Linked DNA regions of Xenopus tropicalis. The protein of the gene in region 3 purifies or fractionates together with the protein of the main gene of each other region. This does not show direct contact. Links are inferred from orthologs where the notes say so. Each region holds a gene or a part of one and is shown on either strand. Other genes may lie near its edges.

Region 1 (4,400 bases), on a different chromosome or scaffold from region 3:
ACTGATTAGAGGTAAAAGAACTTTTGATGTATGTTTTTATCAGTAACTTAATTCTATTTTGCGGCTGCTTATTGCAACATTTCTAGAATTCATTTATTTCATTTTAGAAAGCAACTGGCGCATCAGGCGGGGCCTTTCCAAAAAGAATAAATGGGAGACTATTTTTAGGTAAAGTAAACTGCTTTTTATATTTATCTTCATTACAAACATGTATAACAATTGTTGAAAGCTGGAGTATACTAAATAAGCACAGGTTTAATTTGTTTTAAAATTGCAAAGCACTTTTTAATATGATTATACTATCTGTAATACTTATCTGTGTTATTCCGTTCTATATAATGTTCCCATTCTTATTTCTTAAAATAGTTTTCTATATACATTTATCAGGCACAACAATCCTAGTTAAGGCAAACCTTGTCAAAAAGTGGAAAATCTCAGCAAAGAAACAAGAGGAACCTTTCTTATCTGGCGCCCCTATTAGCATTCCCTAACTAAGAGCTAATTATAGCTGCTTGATTCACTCTTCAGCTGGTAACTGATCTAATTCTGAAACAGGCATGTCCAGTCAGGCACCACTCCTTTCTTCTACCTCCTCTGTTATTTTTCCAGTGCACTGTCACCTATAAGTCGGTCAGCTGTTCTGTTCCATCAGAAACCATTTCCTTCTGAACCTAACTCATCTGTGGGCTCAGATGATTCTCCAAATTAATTTTAACAATCTGAATTTTACTAATCTGATTTAGTTTCCCTCCAACCAAATTCACTTCAATCAGTGAGGGTTCCATTTTATTATGTGGCACATCAATTCAGTGCAGTCTAAACAGTGTTTGGTTTTTATTTATCAGTAAGGTAGAAACAACTTTGTTTGAAGTCCTAGATTTTAAATGAATTGATGAAATGAGATTTTATAGATATTAGTAAAGCACTGATTTTAGATGTATGGGTAAGCAGCATGTTTGCTTAGTACATGAACTTTTAGCTATTTCATGTTGGTAGTATTGGGCAAGCAGCAAGATTATTTTTTTCCATAGAGTAGGATCTTCACACTTTTCAGTACTGTATAACAAACCACTTCTTTCTGAGTAATGCTTCAAGCCATATTCTGTTGCTATATCTGGTAATAATAAGGTATATGTACTTTGTTCTTATGGACATTAGATCTATGACTAGGCAACACAGGGACAAATACTTATGGACTTCTCCCATTTATTTTGTAAATATAAACTTTAGGTGACTTGGTGCAAAAAGAAGAATCTTTTCTTTATTCATTTCCATGCATTGATTTAGATAAATTATGTTTTATATTTATGTTGCTGAGCTTAATACCCCTGTGTTTTCCAGATCTAGAAAATAACACCGAGATGAACACTGAAGATTATGAATACGAAGATGAAGCAAAACTTGTTATATTCCCAGATCACTTTGAAATTGCCTTACCTAATATAGAAGAGCTACCCGCATTGGTCAGTGACTTTGAGTGGGATTGTACAGTGTGAACACAAACCAAGCAATATTTGCATCTCATGAGTTTCCTTTTTGGGACTTTTTTTAGTCCCTTTTTTTTATCTATGGTCTGCAAATAGATTTGTGTACGGTAATCCCTTGACAAATGGGAAATGTCATATTTACTCTGTGAAGTGTGAAGACCCTTTGCATTTGAAGTGCAAGTAACGCCAAACAGTCAGATTACTTGGAGCAGCATTGTGTTCTAAGCTGCTCATCTGTTACATGCTATGCAAATTGGGCATTGCAGGCCTGCATGACTGCTTCTACTGTTACTAAAATACTTGTTTACGTTTAGGCCTCTGGCACATGGGGTGTTTTGTGAACAGCTGACTTCAGGCTAAGAACAGTGGCTGACAAAACACCCCTCTCCACCTGTTACAGCTCCTTATACTAGTGAATGACACATGTGCATTTGAATGGACATAGAATAGTGATGGAAGTGGAAACCAAGCACTAGGTTGAGAGGGGCATTTTGGTTGCTGCTGCTTCTCTCTGCCTGAGGGCAGCGACAGACAAAACACCTTGTGTGTTAAGGGTTTAGAAGTACTAGACTGATGTCACATGGGGCTGCGGTAGACTTGCTGAGAGTTTACATCTCAGAGCCAATATTTGCTGCTTCTGCCTGTACCCAGGTGGACACAATGCTTTCGGGTGCAGGCAAGGTAAGAGGCTAACGCAGGCCGAGAATCAGCCCCGCGTGGCATCAGCCTTAGGTCAATGGTAAATGCATCAGTTTAGTGCCTGTGATCTTTAGTGTCCTGGGAGGCAACCATAACCTAGACTTATATACATTATTTTCCATGGCATTACTTCCTGAGCTACAAAAAATGACAGCCAAAGATATCCCATCTACCATTATCATATGATTACTGCACGCATCATGAATAGCATTTTACCTATTAATTATCACACATTAATGCTTTAAAAAAATAATCTTTTAAGACCAATGTGCAATGGACCTTTGACTCATTCCCCTTTGTGGTTTTTCATCTGAAGAAGTGGGGCCTGAAAGTGGCTGTGCAGTCTGTGTCATGTAACTGAATGTGTCTGTCATTAGGGGGCAGAAACCTGTATCTCAACCCCAAATGTGTTGGTGCTTAAATCCTAAACTCATATACAGTCAAAACAGCCAGAATCACATTTACTGCCTGCCATAAGAGATGATGCTAAAAGCAGATGACAGTGCACCTCCACTTTTAATCGGAAGTCAAATTGTTTTGTGGGTTATGAGGCTTATATAAAATGGGGCAAATTTTGTGTGTTTTATCTGCTTTATTTTTTAGTGTGTTGTCAAGGAGCTATGAATTGTCCCTTTCCACCTCCCATAGAGTTTAATGTGAGAAATCCTTTTTATGTACCATCCTTCTATCTGCTTTGATGCAAAAGTGTTTGAAGGTTTAACCCACTTTGTTTGCAGGTAACAATAGCCTGTGATGCAGTCCTCAATTCAAAGTCTCCATATAGAAAGCTTGACCAAGAATCATGGGAAGAAGAACTCCAGGTTTCAAAGTTTGCAAACAACCTTGTGCAAATAGATAATGGTGTGAAGATTCCACCAAGGTAACTGTCATGAAGTAGCAAGGAGTGGAAACTGTCATTCTTAGCCCTTTTTTTAGCTGTATAGTGCAAACATTTTGCCCTAAATATTGCTCTAAACATTTGTATAAAGTTTTGCTATATAAAATATTAAGTCTGGCAGTGTCCGCAGATTTACTAGTGCTATGTTGTATGAAAAGTGTTTACCAAATTTTTGAACTTGTTAATTAAGTAGCCTGTTTCTCAGTGGCTGGAAGTGCTCCAAGTGTGATCTCCAAGAGAACCTGTGGTTGAACTTGACAGATGGCTCCATTATGTGTGGAAGGTGGTTTTGTTCAGGCAGTGGTGGGAACGGACACGCTCTTGAACACCATAAGCAAATGGGCTACCCTTTGGCAGTAAGACTAGGAAGTATCACTCCAGATGGGGCAGGTGAGAAAATGATTCTGGGACAACATCTGTTATTAGTTGCAATATATTCTTTTCATTCTTGGATTATTCATTACCTGGGTAACAGCAGCTTACATTCTGCCTGTTTAGGGTAACCTGACCTCTAGCACTGTTACCTTGACCTTTAGCACATTTAGAGTAGGTGGGAGGGACAGGGCCATATTGTATAAGAGCCCTAATAAATATTTCAATATCAAATGCTTATGAATTGCAACAAACTAAATCTCTCTGCAGCGCAGGGCCCAAAATATTGAAAAATAACAGAAACATCAGTCTTTATCTGCTTTACATTCCAGATCTACTGTTGACACTTGATCTTACACTAGGGTCTCAGGCTTAAATTCTACCTCCTATTTCTTCAGACCCCATGTCATGTCATTTGCTATTATGGTCTCTCTGCATAATTAGCCCATAAATAACCCATAGATTGAAGCATTAATTACTGACAAGAACTCGACAAACCGCTTTAGAAAAATGCTTTATCTTTAAAATGACATTGTCCTTTAAAAGTAAACAGTGCAGCAACATTATTGAGAAAATTTACATTCAAATTTTCTACTTTGGTTTCTACTTTTTTTCTACTGTTTAGCCAATTTAATATTTGCATGATCTTGCAGAGTAAATTGTACTATTCAGTTCTCCATTCTTAGTTAATTGTTAATGTAAATTGTTAATGTTACAGAATGTCTTAAGGTGCCCATACACCTTAAGATCCGCTTGGCGATGTCGCCAAGCGAGCGTATCTTCTCTCGATATCCCCCACCTACGGGTGGGCGATATCAGGAGAATCCAGGCTAATTCGATAGTTTGGCCCTGGGGCCAAACGATCAAATTATAATGTCGGGCATAGGAAAAGTCGGTCCGGGGACCGCAACAACGAGCCGATGCGGTCCCCGATCCGACTAGAT
Region 2 (3,494 bases), on a different chromosome or scaffold from region 3:
TTCTTTTTTTTTTAACCAGTCTTCTTTAAAGTGCAGAATATTACAGGACAATTTGGTCTGCTTCCCATAAGCAAACGCCTGTACATTGTAGCTGCATTCTTTGGCATTCCCATTACTTACTGATTTGAAGTGTTTAATTGCTCTGCTCTTCCCTCCCATAATGAAATCTATAAGAACAAATACTAACATTCAAAATCACTTAAAGTCAACTTTCCTATACTTTTACAATGTAAATGTTTAATAAAGTGCCAACTTTTACTGGAATTTTTTTCTCGAGGGATAGGTAACCTGCGGCTCTCCGGTATCTCATTTGCTGCACCTCCATCGTCCTTTGAGTTGGTTGGTGGGAATGATGGGTGCTGCAGGGGAATTGCTCGAGAGCAGCAGACTTTGCTTTTCCTTCAGCTGGAAATATAATGGTTTTATTCTTCCCCTGAATGAATTCCCCATCGATTACCTGTGCTTGTGTTTTTAATAAGGGATGAGAGGTGGTTTATGGTTGTTTGGTCCCTGTGCTGTGGTCTTCTACGTCAGGGTTTTTCTTTTTATCATATAATTTTTGCTGTGGGGGTAAGAAGCCATTTTGTAGCTAGACTTAACCATTTATACATCTTTTTTTGTAGAAAGGGTTTAGCGGAAAAGGCAAAAAAAAACGTAGAAATTGAGATTTATCCAAAGTAAAAGGTAATTTTAATTTAGATTTCCTCTTCTATTCTATCCCTATTTTCTTGCTATAATTTTGTAACATATATTAAAAAAAAATATATACATATATATAAAAAAATACAAACTTTGAATTTTGCATTCCGTAGCAGTAAAAGTCAGTGGTACACGTTAAAGACCTGACACTTCCTAGGCACTGGTGGTTTTAATGCATCCCATGGATTGGAGTGGGGGTGTGCTGGGAAATTCATACCACGGTGCCTGGGGTTATAAATCTTTGATGTGTAACATTCACATCCATTCCTATATGTTAAGTCCTGTTTTTTTTTTTCTTCCTTTCCTTCTCCTCTTTTCTCCGTGTCGACGTTGGGCCGTAAAGCTAAGAAAATCAAAAAGATTATCAGATTCTTCGGATGTGGCAGCGCAGATGAACGAAACTGTAGATGTCCAAGATGTTATTGCAATTTGTTGTCCAAAGTACAAGGATCGGCCACAGATTGCAAAAGTAGTGCAGAAAACCAGCCATGGCTTCAGTGTTCAATGGATGGCAGGCTCCTACAGTGGCACCTGGGCCGAAGCCAAACGCCGGGACGGCAGAAAACTGGTGCCTTGGGTAGACACTATCAAAGAGTCAGACATTATTTACAAAAAAATTGCTCTGACGAGCGCTAATAAGCTGACTAATAAAGTTGTTCAGACTTTACGATCGCTGTATGCAGCCAAGGACGGGACTTCCAGCTAATGAATTTGTATATTTGCAGCCAAAATTTACAGGAATCCAGAAACACACACAAACTTGAAAAAAAAAAACAAAAACCTGCATTCTGGCAAAAATTAATTAAAAAAAAAACTACAAAAACCCCTAAACACACACACAAAAAGGTGATCAGTTTTATCGCAACGTAAACAAAAAAAACCAACAAAGCAAAACGGGAACTTGGCCGTCAGAAGGAAATGTTTGGTAAACATTGTGTGGGAGCTTCCTTCGCTGTTGTACAGCAGAAACCGTCTCAGTTCATTTTTACTCCCACTGTATTATAGTTTAACAAAAATTGTTTATATCTTGAAGAATACTTTCTGTTTAAAAAAAAGACAAACGCAAAAAAAAACAAAAAAAAAAACAACGAAAAAATAAACAAGTGAATGTTGAAAATTAGTCTGTTAATGTTCTTAATAAAGTGTTCTTGGAGTTTAATAACCTAGCAGCGGATGGCTTTCTTTAGCTTAGCCCGGGCTCCAGGGGAGCACTCATTTCCCTTTTACTCTTTTACTTTTTATTTTCTTTCATTTTATTTTTTTAATCCCCGGCTGTAAAGTGGCAGAATGCTCTGGATATATATAATTTATTCTGTTTAAAAGAAACAAAACAAAAAAAAGCATGCAGTATCTACGGCCTATCTGCAGGAGGAGGGTGTTTGTTATTTTTGTTTTTTCTTTTTTTTTTTTTTTTTGTAAATGTAGATTTTGATGTATTAGGTCACCCTGAAAAATAACACGAGACAAACACAAAAAGGGATCCCCCCCAGACGACCTGGCGGAGATAATACTGCAATAAATTTTTTTTACTTCTTTGTTACTTGTCTGTTTCCATTCAACTTTCTTGATGTAAAGCTGTTTTGAATTGGATTATATTATTTTGCAGTCTTTTATGTAAAGATAAACAAACAAACAAAAGTTTCCTATCAGTCGTTTTCAACTTAAGGCATAAATATTGTTTATACGGTTTGTATAGGCTGACTTGGAAATAACTGCTATCTTTATTTTCACCCCTATGAAAGGGTATAGACACGATTTAACTCCCGATTTTATTGTATCCTTGAAATATTTAGTGTTAACCATATGATTTAGCACTGTGCCAAACACATTTTCAAGAATGTTTGATATAAAAAGAAACTATAGTTTATTCCTTGTATGTTTGGATTTCTTTACTCTGCTCTTCAGAATGGTTCGCTCCAACGTTTATTCTGTTTTGCTTGTGAATTTTGCAAATTGAAGACTCAACGATCTGAGTTTAATTTCTTATTTTCAGTTCTCTTGTTTTTTTGGGCTGTTCACCATAACGTACCAATGGTGGCCTTGAACTGTGTGTATAGCAAAAATTTGTGTTAGAAAAGCTATAATATGTCTGGTGAGGGGGAAGAACACACACCGTAGGCATTATTTCCTTATCGATAAGACCATAGCCAATGTTCTTGTTGCCATGCTAACAGCCCATAACTTACAGTTCTTTGCAAAGAGTGGTTGCTATGCTGGTGCCTTGTAAAAAAAGGTAAGTGGGTCATATAAGAAACGGCTGAAGACAGGAGGTAACTTCCAAGTCTGATTATTAAAGGGATCCTAAATGACACTGTATACATTGCAAATAATTCACTCGGCTATTTAAAATTGTATTCTTGAACCAACACATGTATTTGTAGCTGTAATATTGGTGTGTAGGCGCCATCTCAGTGCATTGTGCCTGAGTCTGAGCTTTCAGCCAGCGCTACACATTAGAACTGCTTTCAGCTAACCTATTGTTTCTCCTACTCCCATGTAACTGGAGGAGTCCCAAGCCGGACTTGGATTTCTTACTATTGAGTGCTATTCTGATACCTACTGGGAGCTGCTATCTTGCTCCCTTCCCATTGTTCTGCTGATCAGCTGCTGGGAGGGGGGGATATCACTCCAACAGCAGCGCAGCAGTAAAGTGTGCCTGAGTCTGAGCTTTCAGAAGGAGCCAGCGCTACACATTAGAACTGCTTTCAGCTAACCTATTGTTTCTCCTACTCCCATGTAACTGGAGGAGTCTTGGTTAGACTTGGGTCTTTTACTACTGAGTGCTATTCTCATAT
Region 3 (4,400 bases):
CTTTTAATTCACATGACATTAGGGATTGTTTCATCTTGCTACCTATATGTCTTCTTCACCTGTCTATTTCCACTGTTTATTGGGTAAGGTTTGATACAAAACGTTTTTGTCCTTTGTAGGGGGCGGTCGAGTCCATTGCCATGAAGAACCCCAAAGAGCGTACGGCCCTGTTTGAAGAGATCAGTCGGTCAGGAGAGCTGGCACAGGAGTATGATAAGCGCAAGAAGGAGATGGTGAAGGCTGAAGAAGACACACAGTTTAATTATCACCGCAAGAAAAACATCGCTGCTGAGAGGAAGGAGGCCAAGCAGGAAAAAGAAGAGGTTTGTTTGCAATGTCACGCCACGTGGTGTAAAAGTTTGCTTCATGACAATCCCTACAGTTTGGTTTTGAGTTGGCAAATTGCGCTATGAGCTTCGTGTTCTCCATGCAGGCGGAACGGTACCAGCGATTGAAAGATGAGGTGGCTCGAGCACAAGTTCAGCTGCAACTGTTTAAACTCTACCATAATGAATCTGAGATCGAAAAGCTAAACAAAGATCTGAGTGTTAAGAACAAGGGGATAGAGAAGGACAAGAAGCATATGGATAAGGTGGAGGAAGAACTCAAGGACAAGAAGAAAGACTTGGGGAAGATGATGAGAGAGCAGCAGGCCATTGAGAAAGAGATCAAGTGAGAACCACTGTTAAGGCACATGTATGCAGGGAGATATGTCATACTTTTTCAAGCACCTAATGCAATTGAAAACTTTATCATTAGTATTCTTTAGGCCAGGGAGAACAGTCTTCACCAGTGTGCAATCTACTCTGCTCTCTGTACAGTCAGCCTAGATGACTTTACAGGCAGAAACTGAAAAGTTTGAAGAAAAAAAAAAAACACCAATAAGTCTTTTACCAAAACTGCTAGTACCCTCAGTAGCCAATAAAAATAGATTAGTGTGTGCCCAGAGGAGCATCCTTGTGAAATATACAATACTTGTATGTGTGTGTTTAGAACCTCTTTGCTTACATTTAAGTAAAAAATTAATTACCCATATATTTGTAAACAGTGTTTTGATTGATCTTTAAAACAGATTGCGTTTGATGCCTCTCTACAGTGTATTCCCATGTATGGTTTAAGTGTTTACACTTGTGGATTATTTTAACATCTTGCTTCTGTTTGGTTTTGCGAAGAGAGAAAGATGCGGAACTGAATCAGAAACGTCCTCAGTATATTAAGGCCAAGGAAAACACTTCCCACAAAATCAAAAAGTTGGAGGCAGCCAAAAAATCCCTTCAGAATGCCCAAAAGCAGTACAAGAAGCGTAAAGCAGATATGGATGAACTGGAGAAGGAAATGCTTTCTGTAGAGAAGGCTCGGCAGGAGTTTGAAGAACGGATGGAGGAGGAAAGTCAGAGTCAAGGACGGGATCTTACACTGGAAGAAAATCAGGTAAGGTCTTCTTGCGTGCTGTTCAGCTTGACTTATGTTTAAGGGAGCACTGATTTTTGAGAAACAAAAATGATCTTGTTAGGTCAAGAAATATCATCGCCTAAAGGAAGAGGCCAGTAAGAGAGCAGCCACTTTAGCCCAAGAGCTTGAGAAGTTTAACAGGGACCAGAAGGCTGACCAAGATCGACTTGATCTGGAGGAGAGGAAAAAAGTGGAGACAGAGGTTTGTGCCAGTGATGACTTTTTAACCATTGTGTTTTAAAATATGAATGCCAATTTTCTAGTTCTTGGGAGTAGGAAATAGTCACTGAATGGAATATGCTCCTTCTCTAGGCTAAAATTAAACAGAAATTGCGTGAGATAGAAGAGAACCAGAAGAGAATTGAGAAACTCGAGGAGTACATTGCCACCAGCAAGTATGTGATGGTTGTTTGTTTGTAGTCTTCCACAATCTTTAGGACTGGTAAGGGACAACATAGCTACACATAATCACCTTTGTCATATTATTTCTTACAGGCAGTCACTGGAAGAACAGAAGAACCTGGAGGAGACCTTAACTGAAGAGGTGGAGCTGGCCAAGCGAAGGATTGATGAGATTAACAGTGAGCTGAATCAGGTGATGGAGCAGTTGGGAGATGCTAGGATTGACAGGCAAGAGAGTAGCCGACAGCAGCGGAAAGCTGAGATTATGGAGAGCATAAAGCGACTGTATCCTGGATCTGTGGTAAGTTTGATTATTTGGAATTTTCAAAAGGCATCTGTCCCCTCTACATATTGACACTCAGTTGATCATGGACAATGGAAGCATTAATTTATCCCTTTTCTATTCCTCAGTATGGTCGACTGATTGACCTTTGCCAGCCCACCCAGAAGAAGTACCAGATTGCAGTCACCAAGGTGCTTGGAAAGAATATGGATGCTATCATTGTTGATTCAGAGAAGACAGGAAGAGACTGCATCCAGTACATCAAAGAGCAGCGTGGAGAACCCGAAACCTTCCTTCCTCTTGATTATTTGGAGGTTGCCATTTTACTTTATCTTATTATTGTTGAATGAATGTTGGCTATGTAGACCAAGAATAGATAAGTTTTATTCTTACTGTTAATGTGATGCTGTTTGGGTACTTTATACCTGCATCTTAACACTGATAACAGCTGATTGTCTTTTACTTACTTCCAGGTGAAACCCACAGATGAGAAGCTAAGGGAGCTGAAAGGAGCCAAACTGGTGATAGATGTTATCCGATATGAGCCTCCGCATATCAAGAAAGCTCTACAATATGCCTGTGGTAATGCCCTGGTCTGTGACAATGTAGAGGATGCACGCAGGATTGCTTTTGGAGGACATCAAAGGCATAAGGTGAATATTAGGCAACTCTGAGCAGAGTGAATTGAATTTTAAGCAATAACCATTTCTTTATTTGATGCCTGAGATGTTAGCTGAATTTCTAGTATTATATGATCTTAGCAGGCTCTGAATAATGTGGTACATTTTAACTAAAACACTGTATCTTCTTGCTCTGCAGACAGTGGCCCTGGATGGAACCTTATTCCAGAAGTCTGGTGTGATCTCTGGAGGTGCCAGTGACTTAAAAGCCAAGGCCAGGAGGTGGGATGAGAAAGCAGTGGATAAACTCAAGGAGAAAAAGGAGCGCTTAACAGAGGAACTAAAGGTGAGACTTAATCAGAAGAAAGACACGCCAATTAAGTATTTTAGAAAGCTTGTGGAGGTACCAGTCACGTTTTTACCTAAGGAGCTAAAAATCTTGGTTACATGGCTCAAACAAAGAGAGTCTCACAGACAAGGGCTTATCTCTTATAGGAGCAAATGAAAGCCAAACGCAAAGAGGCTGAACTGAGACAGGTGCAGTCCCAAGCCCATGGTCTACAGATGAGGCTGAAATACTCCCAGAGTGATCTGGAACAAACCAAAACCCGGCATTTGGCTATGAACTTGCAGGTAAGTAGCCAGATTTGCAAAAAAACTTATTTTGCTGTCCATATATGTTCTATTATATTCTATGCATTTGTCAGCAGTTGTCTTGTGGGCACAGTGATCTTGGTTGTTCACAAGCATGTATTAAAATCCAACATCGAGGGTCCACAGTGATAACTATTACCTCTAGACAGTGGTAAATGTAATAGATGTCATATATAAAAAGAAAATGGGCTGATGGGAATTGTCTGAATTAGATGAGGCCCAGCAGGAGATCCCCTGGTCATAGTGTCTGAGATTTCCCAATCTATTTATTTCTTTCCTCTCCCTAACAGGAAAAATCCAAGTTGGAGAGTGAACTGGCCAATTTTAGCCCTCGTATCAATGATATTAAGCGGATAATTCAGAGCAGAGAACGGGAAATGAAAGATCTGAAGGAGAAAATGAATCAGGTAAGGAGCAGTGTGAACCTTAAAGGAAATGTAACTCCTTCACAAAATTACACTTACTCAAAGTTTTTTTTTATTTACTGTGTTTTATTGTTTATTTATATTTTTGTTCACCTGTTTGAGTGGTTGGGAATAAGAACTGCTTGCTTGCTTTTAGTTGTCAGAATATTGGTAGCATTTGTTAGTCCTACAAGGACCCAATACACACTTGCTTACGTTAGGTTGAACAGCACAAGAGGCATCATTCCCTCCCTTAACTGCTGCTATACGTACTCATCACCTCAGACCTTCTAAAGATGGCTGCTTGCACAACCTATCTGATATTGGTATTTAAAGGGGTTGTAAAGTCATCCAATTAAGTTGAGGGATTTTGATAGATTTCCTAAAAAGAAACACGTTTTAAATATAGATGCATATTCTCTTTCATTTTAGGTGGACACAGTCACTGAAGGGTTAACACCACTTTCTGGGAGGAAAGGACACTAAAAGAACAAGCGGTGGCAGTTATTCCAGGGGGCCAGGCTGCCTCTCCCAACAGGCTACACCCCCCTGTGAGGGCTGGAACTACCCAGTTCTTTTAGTGTC

The links. Proteins that work in one complex are often made in the same cells at the same time.
Region 1: the proteins of smc1a (region 3) and usp13 purify together in Homo sapiens (affinity purification with mass spectrometry; 5 studies listed by BioGRID and IntAct, with this or other methods). This does not show direct contact. The link is inferred for Xenopus tropicalis from reciprocal best matches to the Homo sapiens genes SMC1A and USP13.
Region 2: the proteins of smc1a (region 3) and nipbl purify together in Homo sapiens (affinity purification with mass spectrometry; 3 studies listed by BioGRID and IntAct, with this or other methods). This does not show direct contact. The link is inferred for Xenopus tropicalis from reciprocal best matches to the Homo sapiens genes SMC1A and NIPBL.

What each region holds. Positions count from the first base shown.
Region 1 is NC_030681.2:108,726,997-108,731,396, reverse strand, and holds part of usp13 (ubiquitin carboxyl-terminal hydrolase 13), read left to right. Parts: intron 1-107; coding exon 108-168; intron 169-1,341; coding exon 1,342-1,463; intron 1,464-2,923; coding exon 2,924-3,066; intron 3,067-3,274; coding exon 3,275-3,474; intron 3,475-4,400. UniProt on the Homo sapiens protein: Deubiquitinase that mediates deubiquitination of target proteins such as BECN1, MITF, SKP2 and USP10 and is involved in various processes such as autophagy, endoplasmic reticulum-associated degradation (ERAD), cell cycle progression or DNA damage response.
Region 2 is NC_030677.2:197,857,652-197,861,145, reverse strand, and holds the end of nipbl (nipped-B-like protein), read left to right. Parts: intron 1-623; coding exon of another isoform or gene 624-665; exon of another isoform or gene 666-684; intron 685-1,042; coding exon 1,043-1,405; 3' UTR 1,406-2,566; downstream 2,567-3,494. UniProt on the Homo sapiens protein: Plays an important role in the loading of the cohesin complex on to DNA. Forms a heterodimeric complex (also known as cohesin loading complex) with MAU2/SCC4 which mediates the loading of the cohesin complex onto chromatin.
Region 3 is NC_030684.2:23,832,436-23,836,835, forward strand, and holds part of smc1a (structural maintenance of chromosomes protein 1A), read left to right. Parts: intron 1-119; coding exon 120-323; intron 324-433; coding exon 434-672; intron 673-1,172; coding exon 1,173-1,431; intron 1,432-1,513; coding exon 1,514-1,654; intron 1,655-1,764; coding exon 1,765-1,847; intron 1,848-1,947; coding exon 1,948-2,155; intron 2,156-2,265; coding exon 2,266-2,451; intron 2,452-2,610; coding exon 2,611-2,790; intron 2,791-2,956; coding exon 2,957-3,103; intron 3,104-3,252; coding exon 3,253-3,390; intron 3,391-3,701; coding exon 3,702-3,818; intron 3,819-4,400. UniProt on the Homo sapiens protein: Involved in chromosome cohesion during cell cycle and in DNA repair. Central component of cohesin complex. The cohesin complex is required for the cohesion of sister chromatids after DNA replication.